Arabidopsis thaliana: one gene and its partners. The protein of the gene in region 3 interacts with the protein of the main gene of each other region in a pairwise test. Each region holds a gene or a part of one and is shown on either strand. Other genes may lie near its edges.

Region 1 (3,694 bases), on a different chromosome or scaffold from region 3:
CAAAATTTAGAAGTTTATTTTATATTCTGGTCGTTATTCTCCAAAGTGATTTTTTTTTTCTTCTTTGTAGACCTCTCGTTGATTAATAAGTTATCGACCATGTTATGTAGTTCAAAAGTTTTTGCAAATGGTGTCGTTGAATTAAAATAAAAAGTTATGGACCGTTTCAAACGTTTTTGTTTGCGAATGCCCACTGAGGACAGGAGTCCAAAGGTTTGCGAGTCACTCGAATGACTTATGAGTTCAGTCACATTCAACTTAACCATGTTTTTTTAATTAGAAACCTAAAACAAGAGCGTCGACCATAAGACCTACAAATGCTTTCAAGACTCCGAACTACATTATCAAAAATAAAGTCTTTGACAATTTGCATACCAAACACACCCAAATTGCATGAAAAATTCCGTGCAATTAAATTTGAACAAGAGAAAAATTATGACCAAGACTTTGGATTCCTTATCACCAAAACTCTCAACAATGCAACATCAAAATCCGATTGAAGAAGTCACACCAAAAGTGAAAGACAAAAAAGTTAAAAACATATAAGGATGGTTTGAGATATATTTTAGTTATTTTGAAGAACAAAAACAAACTTGTTTGGACTTTGATGTGGTACGATCAAATCATTTGGTATTATCTCTGTTCTTGGAACCAAACTATGTTGTGTGAACACCGAATTAGGTCTAAGTATGTTCTTGCACATTAGTAAATAGTAAGTGACTGATCCATCAATATCATAAAGCTTCTTAAATATTTCACACACATACAAAGTAATTTACAAGATATGAAATCTGCATCACATTTCCAAGATGCAACAAACCGGATACACACAACTCGATCACAAATTAAACTCACTTTCCGGGGACGAAGTTGGTAGCGAAGGCCCATGCATTGTTGTTGACTGGATCAGCCAAGTGGTCCGCGAGGTTCTCCAACGGTCCCTTTCCGGTGACAATGGCCTGAACGAAGAATCCAAACATAGAGAACATAGCCAACCTTCCGTTCTTGAGCTCCTTCACCTTCAACTCCGCGAAAGCCTCGGGGTCAGTAGCGAGGCCCAATGGGTCGAAGCTCCCACCTGGGTAAAGCAAGTCCTCTGCTTCTCCCAATGGACCATCTCCGGCGACTCTGTAGCCCTCAACAGCTCCCATGAGGATAACTTGAGTAGCCCAAATGGCTAAGATGCTCTGAGCGTGGACCAAGCTCGGGTTGCCCAAGTAGTCCAATCCTCCGTCGCTGAAGATCTGTGAACCAGCCTTGAACCAAACCGCTTCTCCGAACTTCACTCCGTTCCTAGCCAATAGCTCAGGGAAAACGCAGCCTAGGGCTCCGAGCATGGCCCATCTGCTGTGGATAACTTCTAGCTCACGGTTCCTAGCGAAGGTCTCGGGATCGGCGGATAGACCGGCAGTGTCCCACCCGTAATCACCGGGGAACTCTCCAGTGAGGTAGCTCGGAGGCTCACCGGAGAATGGACCCAAGTACTTGACTCGGTCGGATCCGTACCATGGGCTGCCGGATGGACCGGTGGGCTTGGAGGCTTTGCGCATGGTGATTCGGCCGGTTCCAAATACTTCGGAGGCCGCCGGGGATAGCTTAACGGCCTTTCCGGTCAAAGCAGGAGAGGAGAGAGCCATTGTCGAGGCGGCCATTGCGGTGAGAGTGTGGCGCAAGTAAAAGGCTCTTTAGTTAATAAGATGTGATGAAATTGGATAGCTAGGTTACGGTGAGGTTTTTGGGTATTTATAACGTACATATGAATTGCAAAACTTGAAGATTTAATTTGCTTATCTCGTGATATCGTCAATGCCTTGATTTCTATTGGTTGTTGACATTTTTGAGCTTAGATTTTTTGTCTTGTCGAGCTGGCATCAGATTTTTGGTTTGGAATTGAGTTGTGTTAGATAAATTAGATATCTCGTAGCATCTTAGCATATTGGAATACCCATTGTCCATTGAAGACGTGCCACTTGTAAATCTGACGTGTTTCTATCCCTTTGAATCGTATCAGTCTCAAGGTACACGTCATTGGTGTTTCCCAAATAGACATGTCGTCAAAGAATCAAAACAACATGATACAAAGTCCAAACATACTTAGAACGTTGCATACTACCCACTCTTTCACCAAAATGTGAAATATGAGTGAAAACTGAACATCTCAATTTTCATTACTCTAAGTTTGTTAATTATCTTGTTAAAAAAACTACTCTAAATTACAGAAGATTTAATCCTGATAAGAAAGTACATTAAAATGACAACAAAGTAAAAAAAAAAAATACAGTTCATCTTCAAAGACATGTTTTCTAATTCGTATTGGCAAGAAAAACTTACCAGTCATATTTGTTGCCGAAAACATTCAACAAAATCAATCAAAGGTATCAGTTAATATCATTGTCGACGGTTTTATATTATTAACTTATGATCGTAAGAACTTCGTATCACTTTTTGTTTCATCTAACTGCATTGTTTTACATAACATTGATATATATTTGTTTGGTAAGTGTTTCTAGTTTCACTTAAAAACTTTGTAGTTTGGCGTTCGAAACAAACTTGATAAGAAAAAAAAGAAAATATTATTGAGAGCATGAAGTGGATTGGAATTAAAGAAAACAAGGAAAAAGAAAAAAATAGATTGGAATAATTTCAAATATTTCTTTCCAATAATTCAAGCATTTATCTTTGAAAATTTCCCCAAAGTTTCTTTGTGTACAAATGACAAGTGTTTTCGTTGCAGCTAAAGAATCTAGCAAAAGCTTATGGACTAGAGAGTGACACATAGGACAAGATAACGACAATCCCAAAATCTCATAAGCCAATCACTAAACAGATACAGATACTTCACAGATAACAAACCTTACTCTTAACATTGCTATAAAGTGGACGTATACCCCAACCATTTTCAATCACTCTCACCAGTCACAACCAAAAAAAAGAAAACACAAAAACAAAGATTATAATGGCTTCCTCAACCATGGCTTTGTCCTCCCCTGCCTTCGCCGGAAAGGCTGTGAAGCCTGCCGCATCAGATGTCCTCGGAAGCGGCCGTGTGACCATGAGGAAGACTGTCGCCAAGCCAAAGGGTCCATCAGGCAGCCCATGGTACGGATCTGACCGAGTCAAGTACTTGGGTCCATTCTCCGGCGAGCCCCCGAGCTACCTTACCGGTGAGTTCCCCGGTGACTACGGATGGGACACCGCTGGTCTATCCGCCGACCCAGAGACCTTCGCCAGGAACCGTGAGCTAGAAGTTATCCACAGCAGATGGGCCATGCTCGGAGCCCTAGGCTGCGTTTTCCCTGAGCTATTGGCTAGGAACGGAGTGAAGTTCGGAGAAGCGGTTTGGTTCAAGGCCGGTTCACAGATCTTCAGCGACGGAGGATTGGACTACTTGGGCAACCCGAGCTTGGTCCACGCTCAGAGCATCTTAGCCATTTGGGCTACTCAAGTTATCCTCATGGGAGCTGTTGAAGGCTACAGAGTCGCCGGAGATGGTCCATTGGGAGAAGCAGAGGACTTGCTTTACCCAGGTGGCAGCTTCGACCCATTGGGCCTCGCTACTGACCCCGAGGCTTTCGCAGAGTTGAAGGTGAAGGAGCTCAAGAACGGAAGGTTGGCTATGTTCTCTATGTTTGGATTCTTCGTTCAAGCCATCGTCACCGGAAAGGGACCTTTGGAGAACCTCGCCGACCATTTG
Region 2 (4,313 bases), on a different chromosome or scaffold from region 3:
TGTTATTCTAGATGTGGTGGTTTGGGTGTTAGAGATGCTATGAAGTTGTTTGAGAAGATGAGTGAAAGAGATACTGTGTCTTGGAATTCGATGCTTGGTGGGTTAGTGAAAGCTGGGGAATTGAGAGATGCACGGAGACTGTTCGATGAAATGCCTCAGAGGGATTTGATTAGTTGGAATACTATGTTGGATGGTTATGCTAGGTGTAGAGAGATGAGTAAAGCGTTTGAGTTGTTTGAGAAGATGCCTGAGAGAAATACTGTGTCTTGGTCGACGATGGTTATGGGTTATAGTAAAGCTGGGGATATGGAAATGGCTAGAGTTATGTTTGATAAAATGCCATTGCCTGCTAAAAATGTTGTCACTTGGACGATAATTATTGCTGGGTATGCGGAGAAGGGGCTTTTGAAGGAGGCTGATAGATTAGTTGACCAAATGGTGGCTTCAGGATTGAAATTTGATGCTGCGGCTGTGATTAGTATCTTGGCTGCTTGTACTGAGTCTGGTTTGCTCAGTTTAGGAATGAGGATTCACTCCATACTGAAAAGGTCTAATCTCGGTTCGAATGCTTATGTGTTGAATGCACTACTTGATATGTATGCAAAATGTGGTAACCTAAAGAAAGCGTTTGATGTGTTTAACGATATACCCAAGAAGGATCTCGTGTCTTGGAACACTATGCTTCATGGTCTTGGCGTTCATGGCCACGGAAAGGAAGCAATCGAGCTTTTTTCGAGAATGAGAAGGGAAGGGATTCGGCCTGATAAAGTCACGTTTATTGCTGTTTTGTGTTCCTGTAATCACGCGGGTCTCATTGATGAAGGAATAGATTACTTCTACTCAATGGAGAAAGTATATGATCTTGTTCCACAAGTTGAACACTATGGTTGTCTTGTTGACCTATTAGGTCGAGTAGGGCGGTTAAAGGAAGCGATAAAGGTTGTCCAAACAATGCCAATGGAGCCCAATGTTGTTATTTGGGGTGCTCTTCTTGGAGCGTGCAGGATGCATAACGAGGTGGATATTGCTAAGGAAGTTCTGGATAATCTGGTTAAATTAGACCCTTGTGATCCTGGAAACTATTCGCTTCTGTCAAATATTTATGCAGCAGCAGAGGATTGGGAAGGAGTTGCTGACATAAGATCAAAGATGAAGAGTATGGGAGTAGAGAAACCATCTGGAGCTAGTTCGGTTGAATTGGAGGATGGGATACATGAATTTACAGTGTTCGACAAATCACACCCAAAATCTGATCAAATATATCAGATGCTTGGTAGTTTAATTGAACCTCCAGATCCTGGTGAGCTGGTTGCTGTTCGATAAACTGCTTAGTTTATGTCCAGATCATTAGGTATTATATCGATTATAGGCTGTGAGCATCAGCACTGTGGCCTAGGCCAAAAATTTGTAGTTCATTTTCCAAAGGAACACAAAGATGGTTTTATCCTTGTAACGAGTTCGAGTACTGTATATAGAGCATAATTTATAAATCTTGAGATCAATTTGATTTTGCAATACTAACTCCCGTCTCCAGACATGGGGTTTCTGGTTCTTAATCCAATAACAGGTTCTGTGACCAACCTTGAAGATGACAGTAACAAGAGAAGACTAGGCAGGACCAAAGACATTCAAACTCCCACATAACCTCATTGTGAGTAATATTGTGACTTCGTGAAAATTCCACTGATGATGTATTGTCGGTGATGTATTATCATTGGACGTCAGTGTGATGACGTATTGCTGGTGATGTTACCTTTGGATGAACCAACTAGTTATTTAGAATGATGTTTAGATGGTCAAATTAGAACAAAACTCGTGGGGTTTATTTTATTACAAGAATCAATGTCTTAATGATGTTGAGTTGATCTCTTAAGTTTCCTTTTTGTAGTGATATTCCCATTGAAATAGTAATAAAATAATGGAGAAAAGAGGACCACCAATAGTGCTTCCTTGATTTGTTCCATCCACAATAGATGACTTTGATCATACCAAAAAAAAAGTCTAAACCCGTTATAATGGTCATTCACTTGTTCTTAAGACCCTTTTATGAATGATCCAAATTTTACTGATTCACGTAAGAAAAAAAAGAGAGATAGAGGATTAGAGATTATGGGGATGAAGTTTATCTAGTTGGTGGATGTAGTAATTATACGTGCTTTTTTTCCACAGGAGTGGGTAAGTAACTGCAGAGGCAAACCTTGAGTGGCCACTAGGGTTACACATCATCAAAAAAAAGGTGATAAAAGATTTGTCTCTTATCCAAAATCCAAAGGCATATGGAAATGTTTATCTTTAAATACATCAACACCTTAAAGGTTACGGTATATCCATTGCCCATTCCTCTGACTAGGACGACCCCTTTAGAACTTAATACATTCAGCCTGTGGTTCACAGTTCTCCACTCTCTTATATTTAGATGTTATTTTTCTGTTCTACCTTCTCTTCATAGGAACTAAAGTGAATTGAGTCAGAGAAAAAGAGAAAGAGAGAAGGTAACATGGATGCTTGTTTTCTTACCTCAAGATCAATCTCTGGTGTTAAAGAGCTTGTCCCGTTCATCAAAGCGAGAATCTTTACTTGCCCCAAGAGAAATTCTGGCCAATTTGTTACCAGGAAGGTTGCTTCTCCGATCTCTGTAAATTGTAAGTAAGATCTCTTTCATGGTCATTTTGATCTATAAGAATGGCCTGAGTATCGCAATAACATGTCTTGGTTTGGGAATTTGCCTGTCTTGAGTGAAATTATTGTAGCTGATGAGAGCATTTTGGTTTGAGTAGGTTCTCTTTCGGATTCATGGAAGCCACTGGAAGATGATGCTGATCTCTTCAAGGATTGTGTCAACAATTCTACATCAGATGCTGATTGGAGGGAGTTCAGGGCAAGGCTTGTTGCAGGGGAACAAGCTGCAACGTCCGAGAAGGATCAGCCCTCGTGGTCTAACCCGGACATGGTGGTGGACTATCAGCCATCATCGTCCTCACTGATCACAATTGGAAGCAAATGGGCACACAAGATCCATGAGCCAGAGACAGGCTGCCTCCTAATCGCCACAGAGAAGCTAGACGGTGTCCACATCTTCGAAAAGACGGTGATCCTCCTCCTCTCTGTTGGACCCTCAGGTCCTATAGGAGTCATCCTAAACCGTCCATCTCTGATGTCTATTAAGGAGACCAAGTCAACGATATTAGACATGGCAGGAACGTTTTCAGACAAAAGACTCTTCTTTGGTGGACCTTTGGAAGAAGGGTTGTTCTTGGTGAGTCCAAGGAGTGGTGGAGACAACGAGGTTGGTAAGAGCGGAGTATTCAGACAAGTGATGAAAGGATTGTACTATGGAACGAGAGAGAGTGTAGGATTGGCTGCAGAGATGGTGAAGAGGAATTTGGTTGGAAGAAGTGAGCTTAGATTCTTTGATGGGTATTGTGGTTGGGAAAAAGAGCAGTTAAAAGCAGAGATCTTGGGAGGGTATTGGACTGTTGCTGCTTGTAGCTCCACTGTTGTTGAGCTTGGTTCAGCTGTCCAAAGTCATGGTCTTTGGGATGAGGTTCTTGGGCTTATTGGGCCTCAAACGGGCTCTGTTATCTAAACCTTGTTTTTGTACTGCATTTCACTAATGGTTTATGGTATGACTATGTGTATGGTTTATCAATGTACTGTATGTATTAAACATCCATCACTAATTTATATTTGTTTGTTTCTCGTTTAATAGCCTAAAAATAATTACAAGGAGATTAAGAAAAACATATGAACCTTAATAATTACTCCATCTTCTAAACTGTAATGTATAATGATAGTCACAATGCCATTGGTTGTCAAAACAAAAAAATGGTTTTATCATGTTCAAACGAAGCATATACAACTTTGGTACTTGATACTTGCCTTGTACTTGCGAGTCTTCAAATTTTGTGACTCTTTACCCGGCTTGTCTATTACGGGTATTTGTTTTTTCAAGGCGAGTACTGTGCAAGTAACGAGTCCATCAACTTTAGAAGATGGATTATATTGGTTACTAAGAAAATCTCAAAAAGTCAAAATCTAACAAATATTTCGTGTTGTATGAGGTTGCGTGCAACTTCAATTGGATTTCTTAGTTAAAAAATAGAGTCATCAATATAGATTCAGACGGCTGAATAGTCTTATAAATATCTTTTATTTTTGTCTAAGTAAATTTGAAAACACTGCCTATTTTTTTGTGCACCAAATACGTCATTACGGAGTTGAGCGATTACAATGAGAGAAACACAATCGGACATTATTCAAAGTGCATATCAGCTAAATCATAAGAAAAGAAGCTAAAACAACAAGAGTATATA
Region 3 (5,953 bases):
AATTAGAATATAATTAAAATTTATGTTTAATTTTGCAATTTTGATTTGTATTTTATTAGTTATTTTCTAAAGTTATATTTTTTTTAGGATTGTTGTCACTGAAAATTTTAATATGTTTAACCAGCCTAGGGTTATTTTTTCTCTGTTGGCATATGTAGTTTTACCATTTTTTATAAAATTTTATGATAACAAAAAGAAAAAAAAAAGAAGAAGAAGGTAACTTGACCATTTGCTGTATATTTAATTATCTTTTGTCCCCAAAAAAATTTATATAACCATTTGGTATATATAGCAAACTCATATTTAGCATGAAAAACCAATAATTGTATTCACTCTATTTTGAGTATATCAGAGATTATTGCCAAAGACTGATTCTCATAATTACAAAATCTCGTTTTTGGATATTTGACTTTGTCATATATAGACTATAGTTGATGTAAGCAATTGCGAATCAAAAATTTTAACCGGAAATGGAAACAAATTCAGAATAGAAGAAATTAATCAAGAACATATACAATATATTTAACTTATATTTCGTTCATAAAAATTCATTTATAGAAAAAAATCAAATTTTTTTATTTATAATTATTGTATCATAAAAGATAATATTTCTCTGTGAATTGAAAGATTAATATTCCATTAAAACAAAACTAATTAAAATCTTTATTTATTATTTTTTTAGCCTCTGGTAACTACAATTTGCTGGATCAGCCATCAACAAGGGGCCTATTACAATTTTGAATCATGTCATTTGGTTCAATGGGCTTTAGTGCACCCATCAGATTTGAAAACATGGGTTTTTGATTCAGCCCAAAGTTAACTTGTTAGCCCAATGTTAAAATTAGCCCCAGCTGATGAAATGACAAAACTACCCTTATCGCCTCCGTCATCTAAATCAGCCCTACCACTGGCGAGTTTCTGAAAATCGGCAAATCCCCGGCGACTTGGCAAACACTTTTCCGGCGTGGCTTCGCCTCCGCGAGCATTGTGATGACGTCTCTAATCGATGGTCTATCCTTCGGTAGCTTCGCGGTGCAGAGAAGAGCGATTCGCAGTGCCAGGAGCATCTCTTCGATCACGTGTTTACAATCTCCGGCGATGCTCGCGTCGATCACTTCTTCCAAGCTCTCGTTCTTCTTCACCTTCCTCCGAATCCACTCAACCACGTCAATCGAATCCTCAAACGAAGGATCTATCGGCATTTTCCCAGTCACCAATTCCAGAAGCACAACGCCTAGACTGTATATATCACTCTTTTCGTCAATCTTCAGTGTGTATCCGTACTCCGGCGCTATATACCCGTAAGATCCAGCCACCATAGAAACGGTCTCGTTCTTATGAAGCATCATCTTCGCCAATCCGAAATCTGCTATCCTCGCTTCAAGGTTTGAATCGAGGAGGATGTTATTAGACTTGATGTCTCTGTGAATGATCGGAGGATAGCAATCGTTGTGCAAGTAATTGAGACCTTGAACGACTCCGACGGCGACATTGTATCGTGAGAGCCAATCTCTTAGTAAGAATTTCTCATCTTTGGAATGCAAAGCAGTTCCTAGGTTTCCATTGGGCATGTACTCGTATACCATCATCACTTCTCTCTCGTTGTGAACGTAACCTAGAATCTTCACAATGTTTCTATGTCGTAGACCACCAAGTAGGTTCACTTCTCTGAGTATGTCGTCCTCTTCATCTTCTTCTTGATGATGATCTTCGATATCATTTTGTGGTGATGGTGATCTCCACAGTTTTTTCACAGCTACAGTGAGTAATGGCCGTCTCATGACTTCTGCTTTGTAAACAATCCCTATGGCTCCCATTCCAATGATGTTTGATTCTTTGATATGTGATAAGATGTCTCCTGCAGTGAAGCACAGTCTCTGGAAAGCCACGAGTCTCCATGGCCATTCCTCCCGAGGTTTCTTGCAGAATATATACTCTCTAGCAAAGTTGCTGTAAAGATCCCATCTTGTGTATATCCATCTCCCTGCCAAGAACATCATCCCCATAGCCACGATGACTGAAGTTCCAACAATGAACCCGAAGACTGCGTGATTCACGTGAATTCTCCCTGGATTTCGGCCTTTTGCTGACAAAGCTAGGCTCTTAGAGCAAGGTGGTAGAACTCCACCGCATAAGCCATTGTTTCCCACGAGGTCTTTTGGGTCTATGGCTGCAAACAGCATGTTTGAAGGAATGGGTCCGTCGAGTTTGTTGAATGACACGTTTAACATCTCCAGTGTTGGAGAAGCTCCCAAGTCCGCTGGTATATTCCCCGTCAAAGAGTTGTTTGAGAGATCAAGAACAGCTAACATGTGCATCCCGGCTAATGCCTTAGGGATTTCTCCAACCAATTGGTTGCTCTTGAGATTTAGACTCACAAGTTTTTCAAAAGAAGCGATCCTTTCTGGGATTCCACCTGAGAAATGGTTGAAGGAAAGATCGAGGACAGACAAAGATGGACGATCTTGAATCTGGTTAGGAATTTTTCCGGCAAAGTTGTTATGTGAGGCAATGAAGGTTTGAAGATTAGGACTTGAGAAAATGGAGGAAGATAGGGATGAGAGATGATTAAATGATATGTCTATAAATGAGAGTGATGTGGATAAGGCTATATCATCTGGAATTTTACCGGTGAGGTTGTTTTTTGCGAGCTCTAGATGCTGAAGCATTGGTAAGTCACCTGAACCAGCTGGTATAGATCCGGAAATGTGATTTTTCTGGATTCGAACACGAACTAAAGTCGGACATGAGAAGATTTCCTCCGGAATCTGACCTGAGAATGAGTTGTTGAAGAGAATGAGCTTTGTGAGGTTTCTGGAATAGCACAATCCTGATGGTATATCTCCTGAAAGCTTGTTTGATGAGACGTCTAACCACTTCAATGGGGAATTTTTGCCGAGATGCACCGGTAATGAACCCATGAGAGAGTTCTGCCACAGCTCAAGAACCTCAAGGTTTGGTAATTCAGCAATTTTTGACGGAATGATTCCCGTGAGTTGATTCCTCATCAAATTTAGAAGCTGCAGATTCTTCAACTCACCTACTTCCATAGGTATTTCTCCTGTGATCTGGTTATCAGACAGATCAAGAAACACAAGAGAAGTCATACCACCAAGTTCTCGAGGAAGTTTCCCTGTGAGACGGTTCTGGTAGAGATAAACTGTTGTAAGTTGTTTCAGCTGCCCCAAAGAAGATGGAATCTGGCCTGTAAGGTTTCCAACAGCCAAATCAAGGTACTGAAGGCGCGTCAATTTCCCAAACTCTTCTGGAATCTCACCCATGAAGCCATTGTAACCAAGAATAATGGTCTCCAAGGAAGAGAGCTCACCAATCACCTTCGGTACCTTTCCACCAAAGTTGTTACCCGAAAGACCGAGAAACTTCAGATTCTTGAGATTCTTGAAAGAAGAAGGCACTGAGCCCTCGAAGTAACCTCCTCGAAAGTCCAAAACCTCAAGTGTAGTTGCGTTGCCAAGATCTTCAGGTAGAAACCCCGAAAAATTGTTGCTTGAGGCATTGACGTGTGTAAGACCAGTTGCCATTCCTAGACCATAAGGGAAGGTTCCAAAGAAGCTGTTCACACTCACATCAATGACCTTCAAAGACGTGAGATTAGAAAGAGATTTAGGAAGAGAAGACTCAAATGCGTTATTGCTGAGATCAAGGGCTTGCAGAGAAGGGAAGCTCTGAATCTGATCTGACACGTTTCCGCTGAGATTCATGTTGGAGAGAAGAAGCTTAGCCACATAGCCATTTGCATCACAGTGAACTCCTGTCCAATGACAATGAACCAACTCAGAAAATGTTGTGGCATTCTCAGGTCTCTTCCAATCTTGGAGATTATTTGAAGGATCAAAAAGGTCTGACTTGAAGGCCAACAAGATCTCTTGTTCGGAGTTTTGAAATGTTTCAGAAGAAACAAAAGGGAAAAGAGCGAAACCAATGTAATAGAAGAGGAAGAAAAGTCGAGGGATCGCCATTTTTCTCCTCTATTTCTTCACTTTTTGGCTAGTTTTATGGCATTTTTGTGCAACTGAGATTGAAGGTCCCCAAGCGAAGTTGATAATAAGAGAGTGGAAACCAAAAGCTGAAAAACAATGATTAGTCAGAATCTAATTTTATTTAATCTCTCTCAATTATTTTATCATGATTGTGTTTCTTTTTCGTTCGGTGGAATAATATGCGAGTTCCATTGGCGTCATAACAATTTGTATGATAGCAAGTAGTTCGCTTTGTTTCTGCATCTGTGACATTACATAGTAGAAAAAGTGATACAATTTCCTTGATGTTTTCATCTATCTTCGTGTGTTAAATTGTGAATTGTGTTTGAGAAAACGAAATTAGATTATAAGTTTGTTTCATATGCATACCCAAATGCTAAATTGTGAATAAAGTCGAACCGAAAATTTTGAGGAGCACTAATTCCATAACCATATCCTGAAGGATTATCTTGCTGATCTGTGCAATATCAAACAACTAAGCGGTGAGAAAGAAGATTAAAATAATGATAATGGGATATATAATATGAAGAAATCGTGGGTTTCTGAACAGCTAGCTAAATCATAAAACACTGAGTGACTTGTAAAGCTTTGTCCTCATTAGAGATTTGTGGGACAGTGAAACATGGGCAGAGAATGTGTCTCACTTACTGTCCAATATAACTATTTTCTATTCAAAGATGATGGCTAATTAGGCAAGATCAAAGTCTTTTAAGAAAACTACCATTTTAGTTCTACCTCACCAATGATTTGACACAAACAATGTTTTTTTACAAATGATTTAACTTCACTTAAATATGAGTAACTAAAGAACGCAAAGTTTTTATTGGTTATAAGGTTAGTTATATCATCCTTGGCGGTCGAGCTAGGTTGAGTTTCCGCATGTCTTCATTAGTCGGGAGAATGTTTTGTTTCGAATGGCGTCATTAAAAAAACACACATGAAAGATGATGGTCGTGAGAGAATCTTCCCACGTTGTTCCAACATAATTAAAATTAGGAAATAAGAAAGTTCATAACTCCATTGCCAAGTTGCAAGTAGCTAGGAACGTCCCATGACACCTACGTAGAGACTAGAGAGATATACATACATCAAATATATCTACTTACACATGCATTGAAAAAAAAAAATACAAATACATTAATTAAATTATTGCATTCATGTAGACATATATGTTTTTCTAGATCTTATAAACACAGATTTTAATGTTTTTCAAAATACGATTATCAGAATTTTTTTTTCTCTGTATATTAGTTTGAGTTGAGAGATTTAAGGCCATACATATGATATATGCATAAAGTTTGCATATTAATGCATTTTTAGACAAGGAGCTTCAATAAACTATGCATATGACATCAAGACGTAACTGAATATGTAGCCCTAAGTCCGTAACCGAATTTGTTTATATTCGTGTGGTTGCAACTTGTGAGTAAATATGCATGCTGATTGCGTGAAGAACAAAGTAGCATTAAGTGCTCTCACGATATCAAAATAAAGTTTAGAACCATCGAAAAGGGCCATCTATCATTTTTATTTTGTTCTTAAAATCTAAAACATATATATTCGATCGGATATACCCATTAAATGAATGAATCATGTTCACATTAGAAGAATCACCATAATTGATCCCAAAAACTATATGAAACATATTCTCGTGAGTGTATAGACTTTTTGGAGATCGATATCTTAATTAATACATCTAGCACAACTCTATATATTCTTGCGGATTAACATCTAAATTTTACGTACCTCGAGCATATATATCCATTATCGACTATCGAGTATCGACTATCGGTTCGTCCAACACATTTAATTGTTGTAGGTTTGCAAGGTAGATATGGACAGTACCTCTAATTAAAGTTCTTTGTCCTTTCAAATTTATCCTCTATTATCATATTCATAAGAAGGAAAAAATAATTGCTCAAATCTAACTTTATAATATGCCCTTTCATATT

The links.
Region 1: the proteins of AT1G08590 (region 3) and LHB1B1 interact in a two-hybrid assay, tested with the Arabidopsis thaliana proteins (one study listed by BioGRID).
Region 2: the proteins of AT1G08590 (region 3) and AT3G29240 interact in a two-hybrid assay, tested with the Arabidopsis thaliana proteins (one study listed by BioGRID).

Annotation. Positions count from the first base shown.
Region 1 is NC_003071.7:14,522,776-14,526,469, reverse strand, and holds LHB1B1 (light-harvesting chlorophyll-protein complex II subunit B1), read right to left. Parts: upstream 1,864-3,694; 5' UTR 1,653-1,863; coding exon 852-1,652; 3' UTR 552-851; downstream 1-551. Other genes in the region: LHB1B2 (photosystem II light harvesting complex protein B1B2), read left to right, coding at 2,957-3,694.
Region 2 is NC_003074.8:11,189,283-11,193,595, forward strand, and holds AT3G29240 (PPR containing protein (DUF179)), read left to right. Parts: upstream 1-1,980; 5' UTR 1,981-2,497; coding exon 2,498-2,642; intron 2,643-2,777; coding exon 2,778-3,586; 3' UTR 3,587-3,762; downstream 3,763-4,313. Other genes in the region: AT3G29230 (Tetratricopeptide repeat (TPR)-like superfamily protein), read left to right, coding at 1-1,323.
Region 3 is NC_003070.9:2,716,886-2,722,838, reverse strand, and holds AT1G08590 (Leucine-rich receptor-like protein kinase family protein), read right to left. Parts: upstream 4,302-5,953; 5' UTR 3,981-4,301; coding exon 891-3,980; 3' UTR 559-890; downstream 1-558.